Stegostoma tigrinum: one gene and its partners. The protein of the gene in region 4 purifies or fractionates together with the protein of the main gene of each other region. This does not show direct contact. Links are inferred from orthologs where the notes say so. Each region holds a gene or a part of one and is shown on either strand. Other genes may lie near its edges. The genes, in order: tyrosine-protein phosphatase non-receptor type 12-like, dock4, peak1 and growth factor receptor-bound protein 2.

Region 1 (7,998 bases), on a different chromosome or scaffold from region 4:
AACTTTACATAATTTTATCAATTGTCCCAGAATCTACAATGATCCAATGAGTAGTGGTATGTGAGAAAGCAGCACCATTGATTAACTGTCAATTCTTAATGCTGTTCTAAGCATTCTAATTTCTCAAATTGCAGAGATAAAATGATAAATAGCATTTGGAAACTCGTAATTTTACTTCTTAATAATTTACTGAAAGTCTTTAATAAGAAACTTGAGCAGAAATCTGTCGCTTTGGAGGTATATTAAAACCTTAGAATTCCTTGTCTGTGGAAATCACTTCCAAGGGTAGGCAACATTCAAAATTAGATTTGATAGATGGATGATGAAAAAGGGAATGAAGGGGCATAGCAACAAGGAACACATGATCAGAACTTGTTTACATAGCAGGTAAATACCAATGTATACTGATTGGGCTTAATTTTCATGTTGTAATTAATATGTCTGAGCATACTAATATATTTCTAATAACTCCCATTTTCAACAGATTCATTAATGTCATCCACATTAAAAGTCAAATGTACACTTGCTCAGATTATGACTCCCAAACTGTAGCTGCAGTTCTTGCCCATTCACACCACAAATATAACATGTTTTTAAATCAAATGTCATGTCCTGGCATGAAACTATGTGAAAGAAACATACATACTATCTCCACCCTATGAAATAACTTGCTCCTATTAGAGGCTTCTGTCTGACGCTGAGCAATGGTAAATTCATGTCATTTTGCTTTGATGAACAAGTTAGTGCTTCACTTAAGTTAAATTCCATACATGTTAACAGTCAAATTGGAATGTGAGTGAGCAATTAAATGAATGCTCAAGGCTACAAAATGGAGTGTGTGCAAAATATAATGTGAATAACAACAAAAAAAAACACATTTTCATACAATTCTTACCAGAGTTCATTGGAAGGGCAGCCCAGCTTGGTCCCATAATGGTAAATTACTCTTATAATTTGTTGTTTCGAAGGCCAAATTGTTAAAATCACATGGTTAGAACATAGAATGTAGAACAATACAGTGCAGAACAGGCCCTTCAGCCCTTGATGTTGTGCCGACCTATTAACTAATCTAAGTCCCTGCCCCTACACTATCCCATCATCATCCATATGCTTATCCAAGGACTGTTTAAATGCCCCTAATGTGGCTGAGTTAACTACATTGGCAGGCAGGGCGTTCCATGCCCTTACCACTTGAGCCTTGAGCCACTGAAATCCAATCAATTAATAGTGGAGTACTTAGAAGGCAAATAGTAATTATTTCTGTAGGTGCTAAAAATACTGACATTTTGTTACACATTTATTGAAAAAATATTCAACACGAAAATAATTGCACATGAAAATTAAATGTTAGACAGCATTTTATTACAAAGTATATGTAGATTTTAGAAAGCATTTGCTCATCCTATAATATGTGAGAATTATTGTTTCCTCTAAGCTAAATGAATTAAGGGTTTTTTAGACCATAAGACCATAAGACATAGAAATGGAAGTAAGGCCATTTGGCCCATCAAGTCCACTCCGCCATTTAAATCATGGCTGATGGGCATTTCAACTCCACTTCCCTGCACTCTCCCCGTAGCCCTTGATTCCTTCTGAGATCAAGAATTTGTCGATCTCTGCCTTGAAGGCATCCAACGTCCCAGCCTCCACTGCACTCCGTGGCAATGAATTCCACAAGCCCACCACTCTCTGGCTGAAGAAATGTCGTCTCATTTCAGTTTTAAATTTACCCCCTCTAATTTTAAGGCTGTGCCCACGGGTCCCAGTTTCCCCGCCTAACGGAAACAACTTCCTAGCATCCACCCCTTCTAAACCATACATTATCTTGTAAGTTTCTAGCACTTGTTGTTCGAGTGCATCACTGATTGATACATCTCAAAATTATTAATTTCATTGCTTTCAGTTAAACCCAACCCTGCTCCAGCAACAAAAGCATTTTTTGTGTTGCATTGCTGGTTAAAGCTGACTTCAAAAAATTCATAGCACAGGATTGAGCAAAAATGTCATTAAGTGTCATGGGAAAATGGTTAAACTTTCTTGTTGCAGGCAGTCTTGTCAAAGTGCTGCGATTCAGTGAAGGATCTGCCTTTGAGCAGAGAACTCAAGAAGTAGTCAGTATATTTAGTTACATTCCACAATATCTCAGATGATGAAGTAATCCAATATTCAAGAATATCTAGATTTAGGCAAGCAAACATTTGGCACCCAAGTGCTGCGATTTTCTTTTTCCTCCAGGTATGGTGCCAAGGCAGTCCTCACGTCTGCCTCAACTGAAATATGGATCAAACCCATTCTGTTGGTATTAAGCTGATCTGCACACTTGCTGTCTATCTCAGCTTCACTTCCTCAAAAATACAGCGTTATCACAGGGAAGTGATTAATTAAGTAGCTTTATATTATTGGGCCTAGGTCATTGTCCTGGGAAAAAAGCAGCAATTACCTGAGGCTGAGATGATTTGTCTTCCAACATCAACCTTCTTTTGTGCCAGATATGATTCTCAACCACTGGAAATTTTTCCTATTTCCCACTGACTTCAATTTTGTTAGGGCTCTTGGGTATCACACGTGGTTGCATGTTGCCATGACTTTAAGGGGAGCCACTGTAATTCCATGTCTGGAGTACAGCTCTTGAGAAAGGCTGGACTGATGTATGAAACTGAGTGGATTTGACTGGGACCAAGCTGAGTCTCAGTGACATGCACAGAACCCATCATCATTCCTCAGATTCTTCACTTCAATGCCGCAGTTTTGTTTGCCGGAAGTAAGCTGAACACACTCCTCTTGCAGAGAAACATACTCTTAACTGAACCCAGAGAATTTAGGTAAACAGTGGCAATTTCAACAATTTTAGGAAGTCTGTAGGTGTACTACAGTTGAAAATAAACTGCCTTAAACAGTAGTCTACAAGAGAATCAAGTGACATTGGGATAGGGAGAAAAGTGGACTTAAGGCTGCAGTCAGATCAGCCATGACCTTACTGAATCGTGGAACAGATTGATGGGCCAAATGACTTATTTCTGCTTCTATTTTGTATGTTCCACATAACTCTTCCCCAATGCAAAGATACAGTTGAAGCAATTAGCAGAAATAAATTGCATTAATAACTTCAAGCGTGTGATCAACTCAATACAAGCTCAAGCAAAGAGGAAGTAGAGAAAACTGTGCTCTTTATTAGCAGGTTAAGTTCTCACTGTACGGACGTAAATTTTAAGCTTCCCCTTCCTACCCTTTTTTTTGAAAGACTTAAGGGATGTAGACATTATGACCATTTATTGCCCATTCTTAGTTCCGCTTGAAGGTGCCTTCTTGAAATACTGTATTTGCTGTGTACACCTACAATGTTGTTGGGAGTTCTAGTATTTTGATACAGTGACATTGACAGAGCAGCAGTACTTTTCCATACCAGATGGTGAGTGGCTTGGAAGCAGTGTGGTCTTTCTTTTGCTCCTCATCAGGTTAAAAGAAATATGGAGATCTACAGCACAGGAGAAGGCCTATTGACCCACAGAGTCAGTACCAGTCAAAAAACAGGCACCTGACAATTCTAAGATAATGGGAACTGCAGATGCTGGAGAATTCCAAGATAATAAAATGTGAGGCTGGATGAACACAGCAGGCCAAGCAGCATCTCAGGAACACAAAAGCTGACGTTTCAGGCCTAGTTTCTAGGCCCGAAACGTCAGCTTTTGTGCTCCTGAGATGCTGCTTGGCCTGCTGTGTTCATCCAGCCTCACATTTTATTAACCTGACAATTCTAATCCCATTATCCAGTACTCAGTTCATAGTCTTGTGTGTCTTGACATTGCAAGTAGACATCTAAATACTACTTAAATATTATGAGGATTTTCTGCACATACTACCCTTATAGATAGTGAATTCCAGATTTCACCAGCCTCTGGATGAAATTGTTTTTCTTTGCATCTCCACTAAATCTCCTGTCCCTTATCTCAAATCCATGTTCCCTGCTTACTGATCCTCCACCAAGGAGAAAGGTTCCTCTCTATCTTTCTTCGCTATCTATTCCCTCATAACGTTTTAACAAAGATCTGTGGCTCAGGTTGTGGCTGGAATTGTTGGCTGTTTCGCAAAGCTGACTGATTTGAGTGCTAATGTTCCACCCCCCTTTTAGATGACATCTTCAGAGCTGTCTAGCCTCTGTCTAAGCCCCTCATAATTTTATATATTCTAATCACATCTCTCCTCAGTTGCAAGGAAAACACCAATCTATCCAACTTCTCCTCACAACTAAACCTCTGCTGTCCAGGCAACAGACTGGCAAATCTCCTCTGCACCTGTCTGGTGCAATCACATCCCTCCTATTATGTGGATTCCAGAATTACACAATACTCTGGCTGTGGCCTGACAAACATTTTATACAATTCAACATGACCTCCCTCCTCCTAAATGATTGGTCTCAGCTAATAGGGCAAACTTCCCATTGCCTTCTTAACTACTTAATCTACTGTCCTCTACCTTAAGGAACCAGCAGACATGCACATCAAGTTTGCTCTGATCCTTAGTGCTTCCTAGATTTCTACCCTTTATATATTCCATTGCCTTGCTTCTCCCGCCCAAATGCATCACCTCACACTTTATTCGGACTGAATTCTATTTGCCGCCACTGACCTGTCTGACCAAATCATCTTCAACCTTCAGTACTCTAAAGCTATCCTCCTGTATTGGCAGTAACCACTTTAGCATCACTGCGCAGCTTTGAAGTGTTTGCTAAAATGTCTGTTTATGAACACAATTCATATGCTTTAACGAAACAACCCAGACTCAGCAATCAAACATCAAACGTCACCACCCAACCCCTGCTGAAAGAGAATTGCACAGTCCTCTGGAGTATCAAGTTGGATAGAATGAGCAGGTGTAACAATGAGTGGTAGGTGCAGGGCCGAATCAGCTGGCTAAGTCGCGGCATGACGCAATGGCAACGCTGGGCCAATGAGAGGCAGGAGGAGGGGCGGGGCGTGTGGGGGCGGGGAAGGGGAAGAGGGCGAAAGAGAAAAAGAGGAAAGTGGCGCCGGGCGGGTGAGGGGAAGCTGAGAATTAAGGATTCTCATACGGAAGAGGTGTGTAGGTGGAGGTTTTTTTTAACACATTAAAAAAAACGCAAGATGCGAAAGTGATAAGAGTTCGATCCTGTCCGTTGGTCTTGAATTTTCCAATGTGCCGAGAAGATGGAGCAAAGCGAAATTCTGAGGAAATTCATTAACCGGGTGCTGGAAATGAAAGTCCGCGACCAGAATGGGGAGGACAACTTTGCCAGCGACTTCATGGTGAGTTTAATTGTTTTTTTTCTCACTTACGAGTATTGTTTTTCCTTTGTAGTAAACGAACTTTCGCGAACTGGAATCGATTTTTCTCCTTTGGGTGAGTTTGGCCGTGTAAGGTTGGTGGCGGCGCCTTAGCAACAACCCTTACCCCTTGTCCCAGCTTCTCAACCAACACCCACTGGGGAGGAATGAGGACCATCACTGCCAGCTCCAGGCTGTGCGGCCTAAACCGCTCCCTCATGGCTTCTCGTTCACTTTCAGAAAACAAAAATCAGAAAGCTGCATTTGTCGGGTGCTGCGAACTCTGTTTTTTCAGAGATACCATTTAAGCTATAGTTTGGACAATTGTAAAGCTGTGTTTGTTAAAGGGTCTGTCTTGAGTGAAACTCCTGCCTTGTACAACAAAAAATGCAATGAATTTATCAGCTGTGACTCAGAAATGTGGGGAGTTTGCGGATGTTGCGCAAGGCACGGGGCGTTGTGTTCGCTCCAACGAAGTGTGTAATGACTGGATTTTCGTTGTTGACTGGACTGTTTTTATTTTTTTGCTTCAGTACAATATTCGGAACACTTCGGGTCCTGATTATTAGACATGCTAGTATCCGCTGGAGTAACTCGGGTACCGAAAAAGAGAATCAGCGTCTACTAGTACCCAGGAACTGTATGTGGGGGGAGGAATACGATTTAGCTGCATTCACTGAATGAAAGAGTTTGTGGACATTAGTGATTGCATGAAGGCAAGATTAAACAGGATTATGATAATCTTTTTTGGTGGAATGAGCCCTCTGGTATTCAATGCTTAGATTGAATCGTTAGCACATAAGTGAAAATGTTGGAGGGAGGTTCATGCCTGTGAATCTTGTCTGTAATGATTCACAACATTTTGGGGAAAATCAACATTGGAAGTTGAATTTTGATTAAAAGTTGCCATCAATGAACAATAGAAGATGGCTGTTCAGTCCATTGACATCTGCATCTATTATTCACCTCCACTGTTACATATTTTAATATAATACATTAAGCACAGTAAATGCCTTTTGGTACTTCACAGGAGAAATTTTATAGAAAGTGACATTAGGAGAGACAGCCAAAAGCTTGGGCAGCAATTTAAGTTTGAAGGCTTGCAGATGCTGCAGTTAAAATCAGGGATGTGCATGAGGTCAGAATGGAAGAACATAAACATTTTGGAATGTGGTAGGGCTGGAGTAACCGTGGAATGAGCTGCCAGAGGTGGTGGAGGAAGCTGGTACAATTGAATAGTTAAAACACATCCGTGTGGGTATATGAATAGGAAGGGGTTGGACGGATGTGGGCTAAATGCTGGCAAATGGGACCAGATTTATTTAGGATACTTGGTCAGGATGATGAGTAGGACATCTTTATGACTCCTTACTTTTGGAACAATAAGGAATGAGGTTGTAGAAGGCTTTGAAAATGAGAATGAATGTTTTAAACTTTGAGGCGTTTTGGACCAGGACTAATAAAGGTGAGCATGCAAGGAGGTGACATTTGAATGGAATCTGTGCGAGTTAAGTTGCAGACAGCAAAGTTTTAAATGAACTCCAATTTAAAATGGAAGATGGGAGGCAAGCCAGATGAGCATTGGAATAGTCAAGACTAAAGCCAGCAAAGGCATAGTTGCTGGGAGAACAAGTGAGCTGCAGAGTTTGGAATCAGACATCACTAAAGGTAACAAGGTGTAGAGCTGGGTGAACGCAGCAGGCCAAGCAGGAAAGCTGACGTTTTGGGTTGGGACTTCTCTTTAGAAGAAACTTCAGCTTTCCTGCTCCTCTACTGCTTGGCCTGTTGTGTTCATTCAGCTCGCTACCTTGTTATCTCAGATTCTCCAGCTTTGACAATTCCCACAATCTCTGAATCACAAGGGTAGAGTTTCATATAAAAGTGGAAAGAACTGTGGATGCAGTAAATCAGAAACAAACACAGAAATTGTTGAAAAAGCTCACCAGGTATGGAAGCATTTATGAAGACAAAGCAGAGTTAACATTTTGGGTCTGGTGACCTGAGGAAGGGTCACTGGTCCCTAAAATGTTAACTCTGATTTCTCTTCAGATGCTGCCAGATCTTCTGAGATTTTCAAGTAATTTCTGTTTGTTGTAGAAGTTTGTATAGTTGGGATGTTGTGAATATATGGTTGAAAGTTCATGTGGTCAAACGTGACAAGGTTGAGAACTACCTTTGTTTCAAGGTTGTAAGGAGTTGATGATAAAATGTGAGGCTGGATGAACACAGCAGGCCAAGCAGCATCTCAGGAGCACAAAAGCTGACTTTTCGGGCCTGGACCCTTCTTCAGAGAGGGGGATGGGGAGAGGGAACTGGAATAAATAGGGAGAGAGGGGGAGGCGGACTGAAGATGGAGAGTAAAGAAGATAGGTGGAGAGAGTATAGGTGGGGAGGTAGGGAGGGGATAGGTCAGTCCAGGGAAGACTGACAGGTCAAGGAGGTGGGATGAGGTTAGTAGGTAGATGGGGGTGCGGCTTGGGGTGGGAGGAAGGGATGGGTGAGAGGAAGAACAGGTGAGGGAGGCAGAGACAGGTTGGACTGGTTTTGGGATGCAGTGGATGGAGTGGAAGAGCTGGGCTGGTTGTGTGGTGCAGTGGGGGGAGGGGACGAACTGGGCTGGTTTAGGGATGCAGTAGGGGAAGGGGAGATTTTGAAACTGGTGAAGCCCACATTGATACCATACGGCTGCAGGGTTCCC
Region 2 (7,179 bases), on a different chromosome or scaffold from region 4:
GTGCGGTTGGGCATATGGAAAAAAGAGCTGTGTCTGGCCAGTTTTTTTTAAAAGTAAAACAGAAAACAGAAAACGCTGGAGAAACAGCGTTGTCAGATATCAACCGCCAGGAAACTAGATAAGAATCGACCTTTTCATACAGCAGTTTCAATGAAGGGTCTAAAGCCTTAAAGGGATTTGTATCTGTGCGCCCCACAGCTGCTGAGTAGCCTGGTGTTTTCTGCATCTTGCAGCTAGTTTCGGATTCCCAGCATATTGCAGTTTTTTGTTTGCTTCTGAGCATCTCGAAAAAAATGTACTGAGAGCACAATAAAGGCCTTAGAATTGCTGTTTGAGTATGAGAAGTATCCGGTAGAGCGTATTGATTTATTTGTGCTGCGAGAGAATCTGTCTTATCACCTTTCTACGAATTGGAAAGAGATCCCCCCCCCTCCCCTCCAAAAGGGCAACATCCCGGGCCATCATCAGATTATCCTTGCAACAAAATTGCACCGTCCAATACAACTCCAAAGCAGCATCAATCCTGAAGATAACAAAGTGTGGGGCTGGATGAACACAGCAGGCCAAGCAGCATCTTAGCAGCACAAAAGCTGGCGTTTCGAGCCTAGACCCTCAATCCTGAAGGTGATGTCCGAATAACGAAGAAATCCCCTACAGGTTAAATTTATCTCTCGCGGCGCACTGGTCTGGGAGGGCCGTGTGTCAAGTCCTACCTGGTCTAGAGGTAGGTCATAACATTTCTGAACATGTTGATTGCAAAAAAAGGTTAAAGTCCTCCTCATTTTCCCCCAAAAGCTTAACGTTGCAAACTTGTTTCTACAGAGTTAAAGCATTGGCAATGAGAGTTGACAACTTTCGTGTCAAACTGCACTCATTGAAGTTGTCTGCTCGTCTTGTCACCAGCACCTTTTCCAAATGATCAGCTTTGCTTCACTAACATTATAGATTGCAGTCATTACTGTCCACCGATTGTAGCGGGTTGAGGGAGAAATAGCACGAGGGGAAGAAAAGCATTGTTCACTAGTGCCCCTCGCATGTCCCGGAGGTGTATCATACCATGTCCAAACCAGTTGATTAAAACAGAATTCGAATTGTTGCAGCTACCTCGGTCTGGAGATGACAAAACATGATCAATTTTCTGGCTCCTGGACACCACTTGAAAACTGAAAAGCTACCCTCTATTGCAAATCGCAATTAGTTACACAATGCACACAGACTCTCTCATAAAGTCAACTTGTTACCAGGCGAGATAGACTGGTACCTATTGCCAGCCAAATATATTGACTCTGTGCTAAAAATTCTGCAAATAGTTCAAGAGTATGATGTTTCTAAAACAATATTTCATGTGACCAACTAACCGCAGTAGGACAAGGAACTTGCGAGTCCACGTCCTCTCGACTGACTAAAACATGGATTGAGATCCTGGCTTCGCTCACTGCTGCAGAGATTTAACGATCCCGCAGAGTTGACATTAAAAGCTAAGCCACGCTCCAAATCCAGCGGATCTACTCGGAGCGTGAGCAGATGAAAAGCTGCAGTCCGTGCTGTTTAAATCCCAGAGACTTGCAGCACAGCACAGCACAGCTTTGGCTAAATTGCAGTGGGAAGCGGAAATTTCAATATCCATTGATCGGAGGGAGAAATCCAGATGTGTCCCGGCAAGATCATTTCTTCTAAAGGCGGACGAGGTCAACATTTAGTCAGCGGATTTTTTTTTTAAAAAAAACACATATTTAGGCAAAGTGAAGGACATCTGTGCAATCTGGGTATGAAGCAACTCTCTGACTCATTGTGGAGCTCCATTCACAAAGAATCAAGAATAAATGTGCTGACACAAACATTTCACCTTCCCCAACAACACTTGCCTGGGGGGCTGACTTCAATAATGCTTGCAACAGCAGTAATACAAGGAGGGTTATTGAAATTGTCAGAAGGGGTTAAATGCCGTCTCATATCTCATGTTTTTGTTTTCTTGAAGCCCGTCACCCGCTGTGTAAAAATGAAGCGGTTTTCGTATCAGTCTTACATTGAACCGTTGTCCCGCTGAGCGGCGGAGGTAACATCCAGATTACACTGCTTTGTTGTTACACCAAATTAAAAATCAAATAGTTCCCCGTCCTTTTGGAAGCGCGTTTGTTCTATATTTAATAATTAAATGGAAGGAATGTTTCAGGTCAGCTTATCCCATTCGTTTATCGATCAGCGCAGTATCATTTATCGCTTGCTAAACTTTACACAACTCTGATCATAAAACCAAATCACAAAGAACAAATTGATAAACGGATGAATTATGTCACTTCAGGGCGTTATTCTATAGCTATGTAGCTAGGCACACTCCCAACCTTTGTCTACCCTATTAAGAAACAGGCTTACTGGTTTTTAATCAAGGAAACACATAAATAGCGATTATCAGGTGCAAATGTCGTACAGGCAAAAGCAATGAAGCAAAGCAACACAAAGGCAGAGAAAGACAAATCATGGTGTGAATGTTTCAGAAAGGTGTGGGGAATGCTAAACGGGAAAGGTAACGAGACCACAAAGCAAGAAGGACATCCTACGTTCTCTCTCTCTCTTTATCAATAAGGGCATTTCCGAAGCGAACAAGCAAAGGGAAAGTGAAAAGAAAGGCTATTTTGCAGCGAGACCTGCTGCTATCTGCCAGCGGGGATAACAGCTCGCACCGTTATGAAAGCGGTAACATTATTATGGTGGCCGGATCAGTTCTCCACAGATTTTTCTTAAACATCTCCCTTTGCTCTCTGCAGCGACACTGGCACCAGACCAACTCATTGAATAAAAAGAAAGGGGCAAGACAAAAATGCACAGAAAGCACTCACCCACACCGTATTTTTCATTGTCTGTCGGTATCCACATTGTCGACACTGATATACGATAAGTGTATGTTTTACCCAACAATAAAACTTGTCTCCTAGCGCGCCCTAGTTATTGAGCAGTTTTTCCGCGGGACCATTGTTCAGCCTCTGGACGGGTAGGAGCCCGGGTGACCGCGAAGGTTGCTGGGGGTTGTAGTCTGGGCTGCAGATCACTGCCGCGTGGTGTTATGGGAAATGTAGTTTCGAGGACATGTTCACCCCAACCACCACTGCTGCGCAGTGTCTTATGGGAGTTGGAGTCCTCAACTGTCACCGGGCCCTGACTGGAGGCGAAGCCCGAGACTACGAACACTCCCAGAGCACCTGCCGAGGCTACCCCAAACGTCACTACCCTTCGTGCGGCGATTGGTTGCGATGCAGTTGTTATGGTTTCTGGTCGGAGGCCCCGCCCCCGCCTCTGTCCATGAAGATCTTTGGGTGGTGCGGATTCGATGGCGGTGATGGGGATAGCAGCTGGCGAAGGTGGGCGCTTCAGTCATAAATATTTTCAGTGGTTCCTCGTTCTGGGTGCGTTTACTGTGTATTAATCAACGCCATTATGGCGACATTCGGTACTGGGGGAAAAGGTCACGCCGGAAACTGTGAGTCTTCCTAAACCAGCAGAAGTTACACGTTTAAAATGAAACGAGGTTCACTCCACGCAAACGTGGTGGACTCGCCTGTGGCAGACCAAGGTGACCGATTTTCCCAAAGTACAGAGGACTGCACTGTAAATATAGGTGAATGTGTGGAGCGTCATAGCCCAACTGAGGATGGCTACAGATGCATGTCCTCCAGTTCAGGGCTTGTCAGGATCATTTGGTATTCAGTGAATATTTCCGTGTCATAGAGAGTATTAGGAATAGAGGCAGGAGTAGACTTTTTTGGTTTTTAGGGCCTGTTTTGAAATTGATTGCAATTTGATTGATGTGACTCATTTTGTTGCACTATTCCCATATCACACAATTTTCTTTGAATCTGAATATTTATTAACGCCTCAGTTGATTATATTCAAGAAATGAACATCCACACTTTTCTAGAACTACTAATTCTAAAAGTTACAGCATTTTCTGAAGAAGGGTCTAGGTCCAAAACACTAGCTTTCCTGCTCCTCTGATGCTGTTTGGCCTGCTGTGTTCATTCAGCTCAACACCTTGTTATCTCAGATTCTCCAGCATCTGCATTTCCTACTATCTCTGAAGCATTTCCTGTGTGCCTGACATAAAATAGTATCTGTCAGTTTGTCTGATTTTGAATATTGACTGCATTTCAAAATATACGTTTTGTATATGTTTCATTATTTGGTACCTATTGCCCATCTGGTGTTGTCACAGCTTGTCATTTGATTTTGTGTCAGAGTAATTTTAAACTGCACTCAATTTGTCCATTGTCCATTGTCATGTAGAACTTTTCCCAATTTGTTCACAGTCAGTTTGTGTATTAGTGATCGATCCCATCAATGATGATAGCACAGTCAGAATTGAAAGAATGAAATGTGAAATAGTGTAATTGGGAATTGGAACTCCTGATATGTTTTTTTCTAATCACCACCTGTTCAGAGATGTTATTAAATATCTCTGGAGTAGGCAGGTCTCCTGGTTCAGAGGGAGGAGAATGACCATTGTGCAATTAGAGCACTTTTGAATCTCTCAGTGCACTTGGCATGCACGGTCAGTCTCGCAGCCATGATGAGAGTCTCTGAAAAGAAGTAAATGTTGGCTACAAAGGATAGGTTTGTGTAGAGCTCATTGCAAAGAGAGGAAGGAAGAGGGATATTCTTGAATTCCAGATTGTTCCACAAATTAAATTAGAAATCCTCCGACACTTCCGCCATTTACAATCCGACCCCACCACCCAAGACATTTTTCCATCCCCTCCCCTGTCTGCTTTCCGGAGAGACCACTCTCTCCGTGACTCCCTTGTTCGCTCCACACTGCCCTCCAACCCCACCACACCCGGCACCTTCCCCTGCAACCGCAGGAAATGCTACACTTGTCCCCACACCTCCTCCCTCACCCCCATCCCAGGCCCAAAGATGACATTCCACATTAAGCAGAGGTTCACCTGCACATCTGCCAATGTGGTATACTGCATCCACTGTACCCGGTGCGGCTTCCTCTACATTGGGGAAACCAAGCGGAGGCTTGGGGACCGCTTTGCAGAACACCTCCGCTCAGTTCGCAACAAACAACTGCACCTCCCAGTCGCAAACCATTTCCACTCCCCCTCCCATTCTCTTGATGACATGTCCATCATGGGCCTCCTGCACTGCCACAATGATGCCACCCGAAGGTTGCAGGAACAGCAACTCATATTCCGCCTGGGAACCCTGCAGCCATATGGTATCAATGTGGACTTCACCAGTTTCAAAATCTCCCCTTCCCCTACTGCATCCCCAAACCAGCCCAGTGCATCCCCTCCCCCCACTGCACCACACAACCAGCCCAGCTATTCCCCCCCCCCCACTGCATCCCAAAACCAGTCCAACCTGTCTCTGCCTCCCTAACCGGTTCTTCCTCTCACCCATCCCTTCCTCCCACCCCAAGCCGCACCCCCAGCTACCTACTAACCTCATCCCACCTCCTTGACCTGTCCGTCTTCCCTGGACTGACCTATCCCCTCCCTACCTCCCCACCTACACCCTCTCCACCTATCTTCTTTACTCTCCATCTTCGGTCCGCCTCCCCCTCTCTCCCTATTTATTCCAGTTCCCTCCCCCCATCCCCCTCTCTGATGAAGGGTCTAGGCCCAAAACGTCAGCTTTTGTGCTCCTGAGATGCTGCTTGGCCTGCTGTGTTCATCCAGCCTCACATTTTATTATCTTGGAATCTCCAGCATCTGCAGTTCCCATTATCTCTAAATTAGAAGTCAACTAGGTTGAAATTGATCAGAATCATCGCCCTCAGGGTGAAAAATCTAAAGTTTTTTTTTATGCTTGTGCGAAGAATGGATTTTCTGATTAGTGATTTTTTCAATATGCGACTTTGAATTTAAACATGCAGCACTTATTTGAGATAACTAGCATAGGTTTGACTGAATGACCCTTCTGTAACATTCGAGAGTAATTTATTCCCAAAAAATTGGAATTAGCACTGACAAAGAGAATAAATGACTGGATATCAAAATGATCACCACTTTTGCCTGTACTCATGCATTCCTATACTTGAGTACATGTGTCAATAAAATCCTAATACTAATTCTATATTCATGTAGCACGGTTCGTGTCAATGGATTTGAGAAAGTCCTTATTTTTGTTTTCTATTGATGTTTAAGTTCTGTTCTGTACAAGTACGTTTATTTTGTGACTGTTAGCATGTCTGACCATTCAGTGGGGATGTGTGTCATACAGATCAAGACGGATGTAATGCAATCCTGTTCCCTGATCTGTGCTAAATTTGATCATCCAGCTGTACGTTGCACTGGTTGTCTTGAGTCTCTTGGTTTATGAATGTTAGGTGATAGACAGGCCTACTGCTTTGATTGTAATCACATGACATGCACTGGAAATCTAATTGTAACATGAAGTCAGGGTTTGTCTTCCATGGAATGGGGATTATGTCCCTAACTCTTAGCCAGCAGGCCCAAGTTCAAGTTCCACCTGCTCTAAACCCATATCTCTCTAAATCTTTCCTATTCATGTACCTGTCTAAGTATCTTTTAAATGTTAAAACTGTATTTACATCGACCACTTCCTCTGGCAGCTCGATCCACATTCAAACCACACTGTGTGAAAATGCTGCCCCTCAGGTCCCTTTTAAATCTTTCTCCTCTCACCTTAACTATGCCTTCTCGTTTTGAACTCCCCTACCCTAGAGAAAAGACATTTGCTATTCACATTTTCTAGTACCCTCGTGATTTTATAAACCTCTATAAGGTCACCTCTTCAGAAGAGGAAGGAGCATACAAAGTTATCCAGAACCTTTTAGTTATAAAAATCAGCATTTTTAGTAATTTATTCTGTCATCTTCTAATGATAGCTCTTAACTAGAGCTACTTCCTCAAATTCCAATTACCTGCCTTTTTCTGCTATACGTTTTTCAAAGACAAAAACCTCCTCTTGTCCTTATCCGATTGCTAGTATTTTAGTGAATGATTAGACCTATTTTCCATTTGGTAGTTTTGTTGGTTTATCTTGATTGTTGTTTAAGTCGATTGTGTCAGAAAAAGAAGAAAGAGGTGATAGAAAATAACATTTGCACACACAATTTACATTGACTCTCTTATCTGATATAACTTAAAACTAATAATCCAAATACCAAAATGTCTCTTCATGAGAAATTTATTCATTCTTCGAGTATGGAAAATT
Region 3 (8,011 bases), on a different chromosome or scaffold from region 4:
TACTCTGGGGTTTTCAGTTACTAGTGCAGTGACATTATCACTGTGCCACATTACTACCATCAAATTTTAATTTTAAATTTTAATTTAAACTGACACTGATAACAACTTTGGTTAAGAAAAAAGTCTCAAGGGCAAAGGTGGGTATATACAATTAGGTTCAGATCGTTCACGGGGCTACCTTCTTAAGAGTAAAGAGCCTCGGTAAACTTCAGTGCCAAAGAAATGAATCACAGAATCGCTACAGTGCCAGTAGAGGACATATGGCCCATCAATTCTGCACCAACCCTCCAATAAGCATCCCATCCAGACCCACCATCCAACCCTATCCCTGTATACCCACATTTACCGATGGCTAACCCATCTAACCTGCATATCCCTGGACACTATGGGGTGAGGGGAGGTGATGGCCTAGTGGTATTATGGCTGGACTGTTAATCCAGAGACCCAGATAATGTTCCAACGACCCAGGCTTGAATCCTGCCATGGCAGATGGTGGAATTTGAATTCTATAAATATCTGGAATTAAGAGAGTCTAATGATGACCATAAATCCATTGCCAATTGTCAGGAAAACTCATCTGGTTCACTAATGTCCTTTAGGGAAGGAAACTGCCATCCTTACCTGGTCTGGCCTACATGTGACTCCAGACCCACAACAATGTGGTCAACTCTGAACTGCCCTCTGAGCAATTAGGTATGGGCAATAAATGCTGCCCGGCCAGCTACACCCTCATCCCATGATGGAATAAAGAAAGAAAAATTTGGCATGACCAATCCACTTAAACTGCACACTTTTGGACTGTGGAAGGAAAATTGAGCACCCAGCAGAAACCTACACAGACTTGGAGAGAGTGCGCAAATTGCACATAAACAATTGTCCAAGGCTGGAATCAAACCTGGTTCCCTGGTGCTATGTGACAGCAGTGCTAACTGCTGAGTCAACATGTTGCCCATGAGAGCCACAATGAACGAGAAAGAATTTCTCATGCAATGACATTTATTTATATTTTAAATAATTAAATGAATAAACATTTAATTTCACACTAAATAAGACTATTACTTAAACATTTTAAATAAGCAGAGTAATTCAGACTAACATCCTTTGAAAGAAGGACATATTCTTTTCACCCCAATTATTTGCTTAACAGTTCCTCTAGCTTGAAAACTGATCATGTAGATATACATTTTCTCAGAGAAACACACAAGCAGCCTAATATCTACCAATCACTATTAGGTAGAATGCAAGGAACAGTGGAATGATTTTGACTCTCCAAACACAAATTAATTTGCATTTAATACATTTCAGCCAAGTCCAGTGTTCATTTCCACAAACTTTAGAATGCATTTGAAGCAGCAGTGCCGAGGTGGTACAAAATGCAATGGGATCCAAATGCAGCCCACATACTAAAACAAAACAAAAGTCATTTTTCTTGCTAATTTTAAAATGCATAACAAATAGAAATAGATTGATTTCATATCCCGATTGTGGAACTGACCTTAATTACTCAATCCAACCGCTCAATAAATATCTAATTCCACAGCTCACCACCTCTGTGGTTCATGCCTACACATAACGGGTCGATGGTAACTAATTATCACTGATGTAAGTATGTGTCAAGTATGATATGCCTTTAAAAACCGATTTGGTTTGAAGTATTATTGTTGTTGTAGAAACTAGCGATCTCATTCCTGTTTTCAGTTATGCCGACACAGTCCGGATCTATTTTTTTCAGATGTTAAAACCGGTTTAAGCATAAATTTTGTCTCAGATTCCGTTGCAAAGGGCAACCACTGTAAACTCTAATTCAATTATCATATTTTAAAATATCTTTTTGTTGTGCAGTAAATATTTTGCCGCACTTCCGTCACCCCAGTCGATGTATTACATCGAGCTCAAAGCATGCACCACAAAAACAAAGAATGCAAAAAAATTAAACTTGAGATAGAAATGGAGAATATCCGAATTTTTCCCAAAAGAATTCGCGCACCTAAGCTGTAATAAAACCCAAGTGATCCTTGCACGTTTCAAAAAAAAATTGGAATACAACTTAAGGACGTAAATAAGTTACATTGCCGTCCCTCCAAGAGAAAAATACGACATTCGCTAATATAAGCTTTATCCTCCCAAACTGAAGCTGTACCAGCCTGAGAGCAAGGACATAGTCAAAGAACTGAACTGTCCCGACAACAATATTGGCGAAAATAAAACAATCCATACCTTGAAGTCTCAAGACAAAATAAATATATATTTCATATAGGCGTATTTTAAAAACTTCAAAGGGTTACTACTTAGATAGTTGGATAACAATCCCTATTCAGTACCTGAAAGCAAAGAAGACCGCTTCTTAACTGATTATACACATGAAAAAGAACAGTAGATCCAAGAATATCTTCTGGTTATATCAAGGAGAGGGTGTAATTTGACAGTAGGTACAGTACAAACAATAGATGGCCTTTTCAGAGTAAAGGAAAGTTTGCCTGAGTCCCAGAGATAACTTGACCGAAATGAAAGGCGCCAGCAGTCTTCCCTCAAAATGTCTGGGAAAGAAAATATTATTTCTAACGATATCTTCCTACACATCCACATTCACACACAAACACAAACACAAACACAAACACACAAGGAAAGATTGCCTCTAAGGAAGTGTGCCACATTGCCGGCTGCTGGGTTAAGGACTGAGGGAGCAGACTGTCTGAAGCAGCTTCTCCCGCCGACAGGATTCCCCCTCTCACACAGACTTGGCTGAACAACTTCCAAAGGAATTTCTTAAAACTGAAAGATTGTCATTATCACCAACTGTTTTAAGGAAAGAACAGATTCCAGCCTTACCTGAAGACAGGGTTGACAGCTGATTGAGGAGGGGAGAGGGTAAGGGTTGACTTTTTTCTGGGGGTTTTGATCTGTTTTAATCCCTACACAGCACTTCTCTACCTTTTTCCTCTGTTTTTTAAGAGCTGCCTACCAGCCGCTCAGCACTCGGACTGAAAACACTGACGCGCGCTCCCGGCAGCGTGCATTCGGGGGCGCGGACGCTATCACGGACATGGCGTCGCAAAGGAGCGAGCACGCAAAGAACACATTCGACCTTCCTTCCCCCTAGCCAACCTCCTCTCAGAACCTACACTACCCCGCCCCTTTCAACACGCTTCCCCGCCCCTGCACAGTGTCCCAACCTATTCGACAGATTGACCCGCCCCATTATCGTCAGCCCCGCCCCTTTACAGACCGCCCCGCCCATTTCGGCGCATTTCCCCTCCCCATAGCCCAACCCCGACAAAGGCCTGTTCCATCCCAGTCGCCGCACTGCACCGCCCCATTACGGCCAGTCCCGCCCCTTTCGTCACGAAACCCCGCCTGCTCACTGCCAGTCCCGCCCCATCAGTGTCAGCCCCCCCCATTCCTCTCCCACCGACCCTTCTGCGCAGACTCCTGCCTCCTCACCTTGCAAAACCACCACGCGCGATGTGGCAAAACTCAAATCAGGCGTCTCGAGCCGAAAGTTCCAAACCGTTATTCTTGAGAGATGTTGAGAGAAAGGTTAAGGTCAAAGACCATGGGGCTGCTCTCTCATTAGTGAGAGATGGCTGGTGGTGGTTTAATCTAAGTGTCACCATGTTTCTGGCGAGGACAAGGTTAAGAAAGCGACTCCTCTGTGCTAACTATGGTTCCATGGAGAATTGAACCCGCGCCATTGGTCTCACTGAATCACAAACCCAAGGTTCAACTCACTAACTCCCCTGAGGTAGGATGGAGAGGGTGGATTTGGAGTTGGAATAAATTGTTACTGAGGGGAGTTGACGACCTCGTGATATTGTCACTGGACTAGTGTTCGAAAGAACTGCTTATGCTGGAAATCAGAAGCAAAAATAGAATGTTTCACGTCCAGTGACCCTTCCTCAGAACGGGACACTGGACCAAAAACATTAATTCTGATTTCTCTCCACAGATGCTGTCAGACCTATTGAGCTTTCCCAGAATTTTCTGTTGTACTATTTGAGACACCCAAGTAATTAAACCTGGTTTTCAATTCCACCAAGCAAATGTGTAGAATTTGAATCTAATCAAAATCTGCAAGTAAAAGTCTAATGATAACCATTAATGCTGTTTAAGGAAGGAAACCTCACCTGGTCTGGCTCGCATATGACACCACACCCATGGCAATGTGGTTTACTCTTAACTGCCCTCAAATGACTCAGCGAGACGCCGAAGAAGGGTCACTGGACCCAATATGTTAAATCTGTTTTCATTCCACAGATGATGCCGGACCTGCTGAGTTTGTCCAGCAATTTCTGTTTTTGTTTCAGCAAGACACTGAGTTGTATTAGCTCCTACAAAGGAAAAAAAAATGAAACCAGAAGGACCAGCAGGCATTAACTAAGACACTAAAACAACAACAGCAAAAACTGATCTGTTGACCTGCAAAGTTGCCCTGACTCTGAGGCCTAGTGTCAAAGACAGCTCAAGCAACAGCCTGAAATAACCAATGCATGGAATCATAATTTAGGCACATTGTCCTAGATGACACTGTCACCACCCTTGGATATATTCTAACTCACCAGCAAGACAAACCCAGCAGAACTGGCAGCATTGTGGTATACTGTGGAGAGCTGCCCTTGAAGTCTTCCATATTGACTGTGGAACTCATGATGTCTCTTGCTATCAGGCCAAGTATGGGCAAGGAGACCCTCTGCTGGTTACCAACACAGCACTTGCTTAGCTATAACCTGCACACTAACACTCAGTTCAGATTCTGCCAGGGTCAGTCAGCAACTGACCTCATTACAACCTTAATTCAAATATGGCCAAAGGAGCTGAATTCCAGATGTGAGGTGACAGTGACTGCATCTGACATCAAGGCCACATTTAACTTGAATGTGGTGTCAAAGAAGATTGAGTTGAAAGAAAATGTAAGGGAAGAATGAAGAATGTGATTGGAAAAGATGTTGATGGAAAAATTCAGAGACAGTAAGAACTGCCAGTGCTGGAGTCAGAGATAACACAGTGTGGAGCTGGAGGAACACAGCAGGCCAGTCAGCATCAGAGGAGCAGGAAAGTTGAGGTTTCAGGTTGGGACCCTTCTTCAGAAATGGCCTTGATGGAAAAACTTATGTTTTGCTCTGATAAAATACACATTTACATGATCAGTTTTCAAGCCTTGATCAGTTTTCAAGCAAATAGAATAATGGAGTAAAAAGATTTTGTCATTATATTGAAGGGCATCAATTTGAAATACTCTGCTTATTCGGTGTCTTCTGGGTGTGAGAATACTTGAAGGATAGAATGTGCGTGAGAGAACATTTGGAGGGAAGAATCATTGAGGGAAGACTGTGAAGAATGGGCTGGAATGATTGGGAATGAGAAAATATGGTGGTGAAGAATTTGGAGGGTAGAATGTGAGTAGGGGACTGCTTGGAGAGAAGTATGGCATATTCTGATTAAACAAGTGTTAAATGTAATACAGTATAATGATACTCACCTGTGAGAAATTACATAAGATCCACTGCATAGAAACTGTCCATTCAGTCCAGCATGTCCATGCTAGTGCTTACACTCTACAGAAACATCCTATCATGCTTCAGCTGACCTTGTTATCATATTTCTTTCTCACTCATGTTTCTATTTAGGTTCCCTTTAAATTAATTCATAATAATTACCTCAACTATTCCTTCTGATGGCATGTTTTACATTCTTGCTACTATTAGATCAAGATGTTTCTCCTGACTGATTGAGAATTTACAGATGGCAGAAATGACTGTTCAATTTCAATTCTTCAGGAAGAAAAAAAAACTTATTTTATTATTAAAACTTATTTTAATATTTTCTTAATAATTTTCATCACTTGATACTGTGTATTAGTGCAGAAGTGACAATATAGTTGAAATTACTGAATGCATTACAGTCCTTAGTTCTGAGAATCAGTGCACAGGGCCAGTTTCAGTATAAGTCCAGCATGATTAATATCTGATACCAGATGCCAAGTTTGTAAAAATAGCTATGTTTTTCATTGTATTCAGCCTTTCCCCACTGGAATTGGTGACATACTTTAGAAGCAAAAATGATGGAAACTCATTGGAAATAAGATTTTTTTCCTGAACTTTCAATTTCTTTTCTCATACCCCATAGAAATGACCATTGATTAATATATGGGAGTCTGCTCAAGTATGTATCTGTCCTGCAAACTGGTTGACCCTAGAAACCTAAAAGACAAGTTAAAAAAAAATGATGCCATCAATCATGTCAAAGACATAGATTATACTATGGTCATAGTAGCAAACAGAATGTCAGCGACTTTTTTAGGTAAATTTAGTTCATCAGAAACCTGATTAGAGAAATTCATTAAAATATTTACAGAGGAAATTAGCATAAAATTGCAAGTTTTTTTCTTTAAACATTGAGTTACCTGCTCAGATTCATTGTACAGATTATGATGAGGACCAAAAACAAGCCTAGGACTGGTGTCCCAACACGTTTTCAGGATAAAAATGAAAAGAAAAGCATTTTCTAGTTAATAACATGTGAAGATGAGCAAATTCCAAGACAAAGGCATATCACAGTGATACCCAAGTGTTTGCAACACTGAAACATCAATGCATCTGTACAAGGGTAATCAATGAGTCCAAATTATGCAAAAGGCCCAGGAATATGTGATATACTAACCAGACAAAGAAAATTATCAACTTTGAAAACTAAATGAGAAAAATCACTGTTTATGTTTTAGGTACAGTTGGCATATATTTGAACAGTTTATTGTAACCACTGATTTTACATTTTTTATTACATTTTTATTCAAGAAAGGAAATAAATAATTTATTATACCCTTTTTGACAATATTAGGGTGTCCCAAAATATTGTACAGATGATCAATTACTTTTGAAGTGCGGTCACTGTTAAAAGGTGGGAAACACAGTGACCAATTTGTGCACATTCAGTTTGAAATTTCTGTGGCCAGGAAGGGGAAACATATACCTAGACACTGACAAAATATTTCAGCCATCCTATAAAAAAGGATGCCCTTGACAGATTTAGATATTGTAATTACAGGAAATCAGAATTAAAAAGAGTTCTATCAAGCACAAAGTTTTCTGATAGGCATTACCTTAAAGTATTTTTTTGGAAAGAAAGACTGTACATTTCAGATTACATTTTGATATTGCCATTTCAGAAATTATAAATTTTAGTTGCTATGTGAAAAATGTTCCTACTGTCCACAGCGGACCAAGAAAGTCCTGGATTTGAAGCCCAAGACTGAGCTATCTGACTTCAGCAGATAAAACAAGTAGCACTCAGGAGTAAAACTGGTCATTTCAGTAAACTCTGTGGACAACTAATCAATTTGAATGATTATGAAGAGATGCCATCTGATCCATTTCAATCCAAGAAACAAATCTCATAGTTGGTCAACACCGATGGGCAGGGAAATAGTTGGACAAAAGCATCTTAGGGTAACTTGAATTCTGAATCTTTCTTCATGATGTGGCTTCCAAATGCATTGCCAAAAATTATCCAAATCAGCTTCAAAATTAAACTACAACAGCTTATGTGGCATACTCATAGCTTTTGGATATATTCATGCTTTAGCGTCTATAAGATGCAATTTTTAATACATTTCGTTAGGCAGCCACCAGAAGCTGGAGCTTGAACTAATTTCTATCCCTGCATTGCAGTGGCCACTGAAGCTCTCATAACTGCCTCAGTTTAATACAGACTTCAAACCCTTCTGCTGTATATGTCTGAAAAAAGCTTAAGTCACACTCTCTGAAGTAACCTTGAGTTATTATGCCACCCTTGCTTGAACGGGTTTTGTAATCAAACTGGGTGGGGGCTTCATGGAGGCAAAGTAGCAGGGAGTAAGAATTCAGCTACCATCAGGCCAACTTTCACCTCAGCTTGGGTTAAACAAACACTTCATGCTGTTTGGGTTTCTCCTGCTCCATTTTTCTTAAACAACTTCATAGAGAAAGACAAAAGCAGTAACATTGTGGGAAAACGATTGTTCGCAAGCACCCTTCCA
Region 4 (7,169 bases):
CTCCCCCGATCCCCCTTCTCCTTCTCTCTCCCTCCCCCGATCCCCCTTCTCCTTCTCTCTCTCTCTCCCTCCCCCGATCCCCCTTCTCCTTCTCTCTCTCTCTCCCTCCCCCGATTCCCCTTCTCCTTCTCTCTCTCTCCCTCCCTCCCCCGATCCCCCCTCTCCTCCTCTCTCTCTCTCCCTCCCTCCCCCGATCCCCCCTCTCCTCCTCTCTCTCCCTCCCTCCCCCGATCCCCCCTCTCCTCCTCTCTCTCCCTCCCTCCCCCGATCCCCCCTCTCCTCCTCTCTCTCCCTCCCTCCCCCGATCCCCCCTCTCCTCCTCTCTCTCCCTCCCTCCCCCGATCCCCCCTCTCCTCCTCTCTCTCCCTCCCTCCCCCGATCCCCCCTCTCCTCCTCTCTCTCCCTCCCTCCCCCGATCCCCCTTCTCCTTCTCTCTCTCTCTCCCTCCCTCCCCCGATCCCCCCTCTCCTCCTCTCTCTCCCTCCCTCCCCCGATCCCCCCTCTCCTCCTCTCTCTCCCTCCCCCGATCCCCTTCTCCTTCTCTCTCCCTCCCCCGATCCCCCTTCTCCTTCTCTCTCCCTCCCCCGATCCCCCTTCTCCTTCTCTCTCTCTCTCCCTCCCCCGATTCCCCTTCTCCTTCTCTCTCTCTCCCTCCCTCCCCCGATCCCCCATCTCCTTCTCTCTCTCTCTCCCTCCCTCCCCCGATCCCCCCTCTCCTTCTCTCTCTCTCTCCCTCCCTCCCCCGATCCCCCCTCTCCTTCTCTCTCTCTCTCCCTCCCTCCCCCGATCCCCCCTCTCCTCCTCTCTCTGCCTCCCTCCCCCGATCCCCCCTCTCCTTCTCTCTCTCCCTCCCTCCCCCGATCCCCCCTCTCCTTCTCTCTCTCCCTCCCTCCCCCGATCCCCCCTCACCTTCTCTCTCTCTCTCCCTCCCTCCCCCGATCCCCCCTCTCCTTCTCTCTCTCCCTCCCTCCCCCGATCCCCCCTCTCCTTCTCTCTCTCTCTCCCTCCCTCCCCCGATCCCCCCTCTCCTTCTCTCTCTCCCTCCCTCCCCCGATCCCCCCTCTCCTTCTCTCTCTCTCTCCCTCCCTCCCCCGATCCCCCCTCTCCTCCTCTCTCTGCCTCCCTCCCCCGATCCCCCCTCTCCTTCTCTCTCTCCCTCCCCCGATCCCCCCTCTCCTCCTCTCTCTCCCTCCCTCCCCCGATCCCCCCTCTCCTCCTCTCTCTCCCTCCCTTGATCCCCCTCTCCTTCTCTCTCTCCCTCCCTCCCGCGATCCCCCCCTCTCCTTCTCTCTCTCCCTCCCCCGATCCCCCCTCTCCTTCTCTCTCTCAATCCCTCCCCCGATCCCCCTTCTCCCTCCCTCCCCCGATCCCCCTTCTCCTTCTCTCTCTCCCTCCCTCGATCCCCCCTCTCCTTCTCTCTCTCCCTCGATCCCCTCTCTCCTTCTCTCTCTCCCTCCCTCCCCCGATCCCCCCTCTCCTCCTCTCTCTCCCTCCCTCCCCCGATCCCCCCTCTCCTCCTCTCTCTCTCTCCCTCCCCCGATCCCCCCTCTCCTCCTCTCTCTCTCTCCCTCCCTCCCCCGATCCCCCCTCTCCTCCTCTCTCTCTCTCCCTCCCTCCCCCGATCCCCCCTCTCCTCCTCTCTCTCTCTCCCTCCCTCCCCCGATCCCCCCTCTCCTCCTCTCTCTCTCTCCCTCCCTCCCCCGATCCCCCCTCTCCTCCTCTCTCTCTCTCCCTCCCTCCCCCGATCCCCCCTCTCCTCCTCTCTCTCTCTCCCTCCCTCCCCCGATCCCCCCTCTCCTCCTCTCTCTCCCTCCCTCCCCCGATCCCCCCTCTCCTCCTCTCTCTCTCTCCCTCCCTCCCCCGATCCCCCCTCTCCTCCTCTCTCTCTCTCCCTCCCTCCCCCGATCCCCCCTCTCCTCCTCTCTCTCTCTCCCTCCCTCCCCCGATCCCCCCTCTCCTCCTCTCTCTCTCTCCCTCCCTCCCCCGATCCCCCCTCTCCTCCTCTCTCTCTCTCCCTCCCTCCCCCGATCCCCCCTCTCCTCCTCTCTCTCTCTCCCTCCCTCCCCCGATCCCCCCTCTCCTCCTCTCTCTCTCTCCCTCCCTCCCCCGATCCCCCCTCTCCTCCTCTCTCTCTCTCCCTCCCTCCCCCGATCCCCCCTCTCCTCCTCTCTCTCCCTCCCTCCCCCGATCCCCCCTCTCCTCCTCTCTCTCTCTCCCTCCCTCCCCCGATCCCCCCTCTCCTCCTCTCTCTCTCTCCCTCCCTCCCCCGATCCCCCCTCTCCTCCTCTCTCTCTCTCCCTCGATCCCCTCTCTCCTTCTCTCTCTCCCTCCCTCCCTCCCCCGATCCCCCCTCTCCTCCTCTCTCTCCCTCCCTCCCCCGATCCCCCCTCTCCTCCTCTCTCTCCCTCGATCCCCTCTCTCCTTCTCTCTCTCCCTCCCTCCCTCGATCCCCCTCTCCTTCTCTCTCTCCCTCCCTCCCTCCCTCGATCCCCCTCTCCTCCCTGCCCCGGTCACACTCTCTTTTCTACCTCCCCGTGTTGTCTTCTTTTACCCCGTCATGCATCTTTCTCTTTCAACCAGCTCTCTTCACCTTCGCCCCCCACTCCCCCCCCCCCCCAACGACTCGCTCTCTCACTCTCTCCCTCTCCTCTCTCCCTCTCCTCCCTCTCCCCCTCCCTCTCCTCCCTCTCCCCCTCCCTCTCCTCCCTCTCCCCCTCCCTCTCCTCTTCCATAGTCTCGCTCCGTGACGCTTCCTCCTCCGCTCCTGAATCCGGCTTTAGCCGCGATCTCATCGCGGCGGCCTCACCTTCAGTATATCTTCCCTCTTAAAGCTTAGCTCATCGTCTGCTGTGGCCTTGAAGTCGTACTTGGCGATAGCCTCCATGTCAGCGCGACGTTGGCCTTGCTCTGACTTTCAGTCTGGGGCTGGGCCTGTCCGTCGCCAGCGTGTGGCTGTCGCCTAGGCCCGGGACCACTGCGCGTGCGCACTGCGACAGGCCGCTCCCGCATACTGCGCCTGCGCACGCACTGGGCGTTCCGTGTCCGAGGCACGTACCGGAATAGCGTCAGCCAGGCTCAGCGTGATGCTCCTGGACCGGAAACGAGCGTTGACCTCGCCTTCGTCATCTTGTGCTTAGTGTCATTTGACCTTTGGTTTTCTGTCTTGAGTTGGAGCATAAACTTGAGTATCTCTGGGTGTTTTCAGTTCTCATTCTTCTCCTGACCTGCGCTTTCGAATGTCTAATTCCTGTGAAATGCACCTCGTGTTGGTAAACTTCAATGGTCCTCGCTCTTTGACCATTCCTTTGGAAGACATTGTGAGCTTGCTTATTGGCACCACATTGTTGGTGCTGGTGGAGGAGTACTGTTAAGTTACTGGTAGGCTCTGTATTGCTGTTATGATTCTCCATCTCCTGAAAAGGAAGAAAGGAAATTCGTGTCAGTAGTCTGAAAATTTCTCTGCTGTGCACCTCTGTCAAGATGGAGAGTGTATCAGTATTTCACAATCTGTTCTTCACCCTCTTCCACGCTTGTTCCTCATGATCCCATGCAGCATTGGTACACATCATTATTAATCATCGATGCCCTCATTGTTTTGTCAAGTAATTGAATTTTTAACTCTTCCACTCTGCCTTGTTCATCAACACCACTTTGCTGAGCATTCTCCTAAGTAAAAATCGGAGCGGCTCTTTTAAGATTCGTGGCCTCACTATCTACTGTGAGCTGAAGAAGAAAGCCCACATTTGGTACCCACTGGTACTGCTGACTGTGAGAGGTTGTTTCTTTTAAGCTCTCAACGGATCTTAATTTGAAAGAGGTACCTTAGATATTGAAGTAGTCCATATCAAAATGTAGCAAGATCTGGATAACACAAAATATTGGTTGATAAACATTCACACTATACAACTGCAAGGCAATAAGCAATTTAAAAGAGAGAATGTAACAATCATCCAATGAGAGTCATTGGCATCAACGTCACTAAATACCCCAATATCAACATCGTAGGGGTTCCATTGAGCAGAAGGTGAACTGGACTAGCTATATGTGGCTATAGGAACAGCTCAGAGGCTAGGAAACCTGTGGTGAATAACTTACACCCTAACTTCTTAAAGCCTATTGAGTATCTGGAAGGTAAGTCAGGAATGTAATAGAATACAGACACATGCTGTCCCTTTCTCTCTCTTTCCCTCACATACAAATCTATGGGGTGAATTTGCTTTGTAACTCTATTTTGTTCAAATAGCTCACACGTTTGTAGGTAGTCAATGTGGCCTTTTATAAATTCTTACTTTGGAAATAAAATCAGTCCAATTTGATACACAGCCAGATTCTAAATGAGGCCTCTCATGTAAAATGCATTGTCTACCCTTGGATGCCACCTCTGGTATACTGAGGGCAAAGATAAAATCTTTAGTTATTCTCAGAGCAGTGACTTGAAAGAAACTTGGGAATTTACATAGAAACATAGAAGATAGGAGCAGAAGGTGGCCATTCCACCCTTTGAGCCTGCTCCACCGTTCTTCAAGATCATGGCTGACTGTCCAACTCAATAGCCTAATCCTGCTCTTTCCCTGTAACATTTGATCCCATTTGCCCCAAGTGCTGTATCTAGTCACCACTTGAAAACATACAATGTTTTGCTATCAACTACTTCCTGTGATAATGAATTTGATAGGCTCACCACTCTTTGGGTGAAGAAATGTCTCCTCATGTGCGTCCTAAATCGCCTACACCAAATCCTCAACCTGTGATCACTGGTTTTAGACACACCCACCATCAGGAACATCCTCCCTGCATCTGCCCTGTCTCGTCCTGTTAGAATTTCATAAGTCTATGAGATCACCCCTCATTCGTCTGAACTCCAGCAAAAACAATCCGAACCTAGTCAATATCTCTGGAATCAGCCTGGTAAACCTTTGCTGCACTCTCTCGAGAGCAAGAGCATCCTTCCTCGGAAAAGCAGACCAAAACTGCACGTAATATTCCAAGGATAATGGGAACTGCAGATGCTGGAGAATTCAGGATAACAAAATGTGGAGCTGGATGAACACAGCAGGCCAAGCAACATCTCAGGAGCACAAAAGCTGACGTTTCGGGCCTAGACCCTTCATCATAATATTCCAGGTGTGGTCTCACCAAGGCTCTGTACAACTGCAACAACACATCCCTGTTCCTGTACTGGAAACTTCTCACAATGAAGGCTAACATACCATTTGCCTTCTTTACCGCCTGCTGCACCTGCATGCTTACCTTCAGCGACTGGTGCACAAGGACACCCAGAACCGCTGCACACTGCTCTCTCCCAATTTACAGCCATTCAGGTAGTAATCTGCCTTCTTGTTTTTGCTTCCAAAGTGAATAACCTCAGATTTATCCAAATTATACTGCTTTTACCATTTATGTGCCCATTCACCCAACCTGTTGAGATCATGCTGAAGTATATCTGCATCCTTGTCGCAGTTCACCCCCCTCACCCCCCCATTCCAACTTGGTATCATCTCCAAACTTGGAGATGTGATATTTTGTTCCATCATCCAAATCAGTATATATTGTGAATAGTTAGGGTCCCAGCACTGATCCCTATGGCACCCCCCTAGCTACTGCCTGCCAATTTGTAAATGACCATTAATTCCTACTCTTTGTCCGTTCTGTGCCAACCAGTTTCCTATCCATCTCAATACACTTCTCCCAATCCCCCACACTTTTCCCTTGCACATTAATCTCCTTTGTGGAACTTTGTCAAAAGCTTTCTGAAAGTCCAAGTATTAATCCTTGAATTGCAATATTGCAATTGCATATTAATCCTTTCTAACTGATTAAAGATTTAACATTTAATTGTTTAATACCACATCAGTTATATGACCCTTTGACTGTTTGCTTATAAATTCTGTGTCTGATGTCACCTCTCTCACTGACACTGAAGAAATGAGATTCCAAAAGTTTGTGTCTTCAAATAAACCTGTTGGACTATAACGCAGTGTTGTGATTTTTGATCTTGTCCACCCCAGTCCAATGCTGGCACCTCCACATCATGTACTTGGGAAGATTCTGCAGACTACTATCATCTTACTGTGTTTTCCTTAAGGAGTTGTTATTACTGGAATGACAAAATTGACCCTATTCATCATTCTGTTGGCTGGATTTTCTATATAGACCACCTAGCAGAGTGACCACCCAAAGGATGCACTGCAAAAACCATTAACGATCCCTAGACAGCTCTTTCCAAATCCACAATGTTAGCATCTTGAAGATGAAGTACTAATCTAATTACTAATTACTGATATAATGATGTAGGTGTAGGAAATGATGTTCTGATTAAACCTCAGCATTATAGGGCTTACTCTCTAAATTTGGCACAGGTTCAAAATGAGATTGAATGTACGCTCAAAGACAATTCCATTGAAGTGAGTTGCAAAGAATGGAGCACACCCAAAGTAATGGTATCAAAACCAGATGGTACCCAACAATTCAATGCAGTTACAAGTTCTGATTTATATCCTACTTCTACATTTGGAAGTCTGCATTGACGAGGTAGGACATGTAACCTATATTTATAATTTGGACTTACTCAGAGGATACTGATGTGAAAGAGCGAAGGAAATTTTAGCTTTCATGACGCTGAATAGACTTGTACCAGTGTAAAATCATGCCATTTGGTATGAAAAATGCTCCGGCCACATATCAAAGACCAACCAATGAAGTAATTTTGGGATTACCCAGTTTTGTGGTTTACATTGACGAAACGGTGATTTTAATCAGAAGAAGAAGGAAAATTTGAAGCATCAATCCAAATTGCTCAGTCAACTTTGGGAGATGGGCTTGGTGATAAATGTGGCTAAGAGTGATTTTTCTAAAGCCTAAGTCATGTTCCTGGGCCATGTTACTGGACTTGGACTGATGGCCCCAAGTAATATGAAAAACAAGGACTTTTGGGGAGTTTCCCATACCATCGATGAAAAGGAAAGTACAACATTCCTGGGATAGAGTGGTTTTTATCAGACATTTGTACTGAATTGTAGAAGTGTGGTCGCTCCACTGACTGTTTGGTTGAAGGAGTGCAGAAAATTTCAGTGAACGGAGGAATTTCACAGCTGGAAAGCTGCGTTGACCACTGCCCCAGTGTTAGACATACCCGATTGTGCAAAGCTATTCCAAGTGACTATCAGTGC

The links.
Region 1: the proteins of growth factor receptor-bound protein 2 (region 4) and tyrosine-protein phosphatase non-receptor type 12-like purify together in Homo sapiens (affinity purification with mass spectrometry; 3 studies listed by BioGRID and IntAct, with this or other methods). This does not show direct contact. The link is inferred for Stegostoma tigrinum from reciprocal best matches to the Homo sapiens genes GRB2 and PTPN12.
Region 2: the proteins of growth factor receptor-bound protein 2 (region 4) and dock4 purify together in Homo sapiens (co-immunoprecipitation; 4 studies listed by BioGRID and IntAct, counting the BioPlex papers as one, with this or other methods). This does not show direct contact. The link is inferred for Stegostoma tigrinum from reciprocal best matches to the Homo sapiens genes GRB2 and DOCK4.
Region 3: the proteins of growth factor receptor-bound protein 2 (region 4) and peak1 purify together in Homo sapiens (co-immunoprecipitation; 3 studies listed by BioGRID and IntAct, counting the BioPlex papers as one, with this or other methods). This does not show direct contact. The link is inferred for Stegostoma tigrinum from reciprocal best matches to the Homo sapiens genes GRB2 and PEAK1.

Annotation. Positions count from the first base shown.
Region 1 is NC_081378.1:24,619,931-24,627,928, forward strand, and holds the start of tyrosine-protein phosphatase non-receptor type 12-like, read left to right. Parts: upstream 1-4,997; 5' UTR 4,998-5,183; coding exon 5,184-5,282; intron 5,283-7,998. UniProt on the Homo sapiens protein: Dephosphorylates a range of proteins, and thereby regulates cellular signaling cascades. Dephosphorylates cellular tyrosine kinases, such as ERBB2 and PTK2B/PYK2, and thereby regulates signaling via ERBB2 and PTK2B/PYK2.
Region 2 is NC_081371.1:31,391,338-31,398,516, forward strand, and holds the start of dock4 (dedicator of cytokinesis protein 4), read right to left. Parts: upstream 3,018-7,179; 5' UTR 2,875-3,017; coding exon 2,838-2,874; intron 1-2,837. Other genes in the region: znf277 (zinc finger protein 277), read left to right, coding at 3,514-3,568. UniProt on the Homo sapiens protein: Functions as a guanine nucleotide exchange factor (GEF) that promotes the exchange of GDP to GTP, converting inactive GDP-bound small GTPases into their active GTP-bound form. Involved in regulation of adherens junction between cells.
Region 3 is NC_081389.1:20,109,612-20,117,622, reverse strand, and holds the start of peak1 (inactive tyrosine-protein kinase PEAK1), read right to left. Parts: upstream 3,012-8,011; 5' UTR 2,830-3,011; intron 1-2,829. UniProt on the Homo sapiens protein: Probable catalytically inactive kinase. Scaffolding protein that regulates the cytoskeleton to control cell spreading and migration by modulating focal adhesion dynamics. Acts as a scaffold for mediating EGFR signaling.
Region 4 is NC_081375.1:55,040,254-55,047,422, reverse strand, and holds the start of growth factor receptor-bound protein 2, read right to left. Parts: upstream 3,011-7,169; 5' UTR 2,885-3,010; coding exon 2,807-2,884; intron 1-2,806. UniProt on the Homo sapiens protein: Non-enzymatic adapter protein that plays a pivotal role in precisely regulated signaling cascades from cell surface receptors to cellular responses, including signaling transduction and gene expression.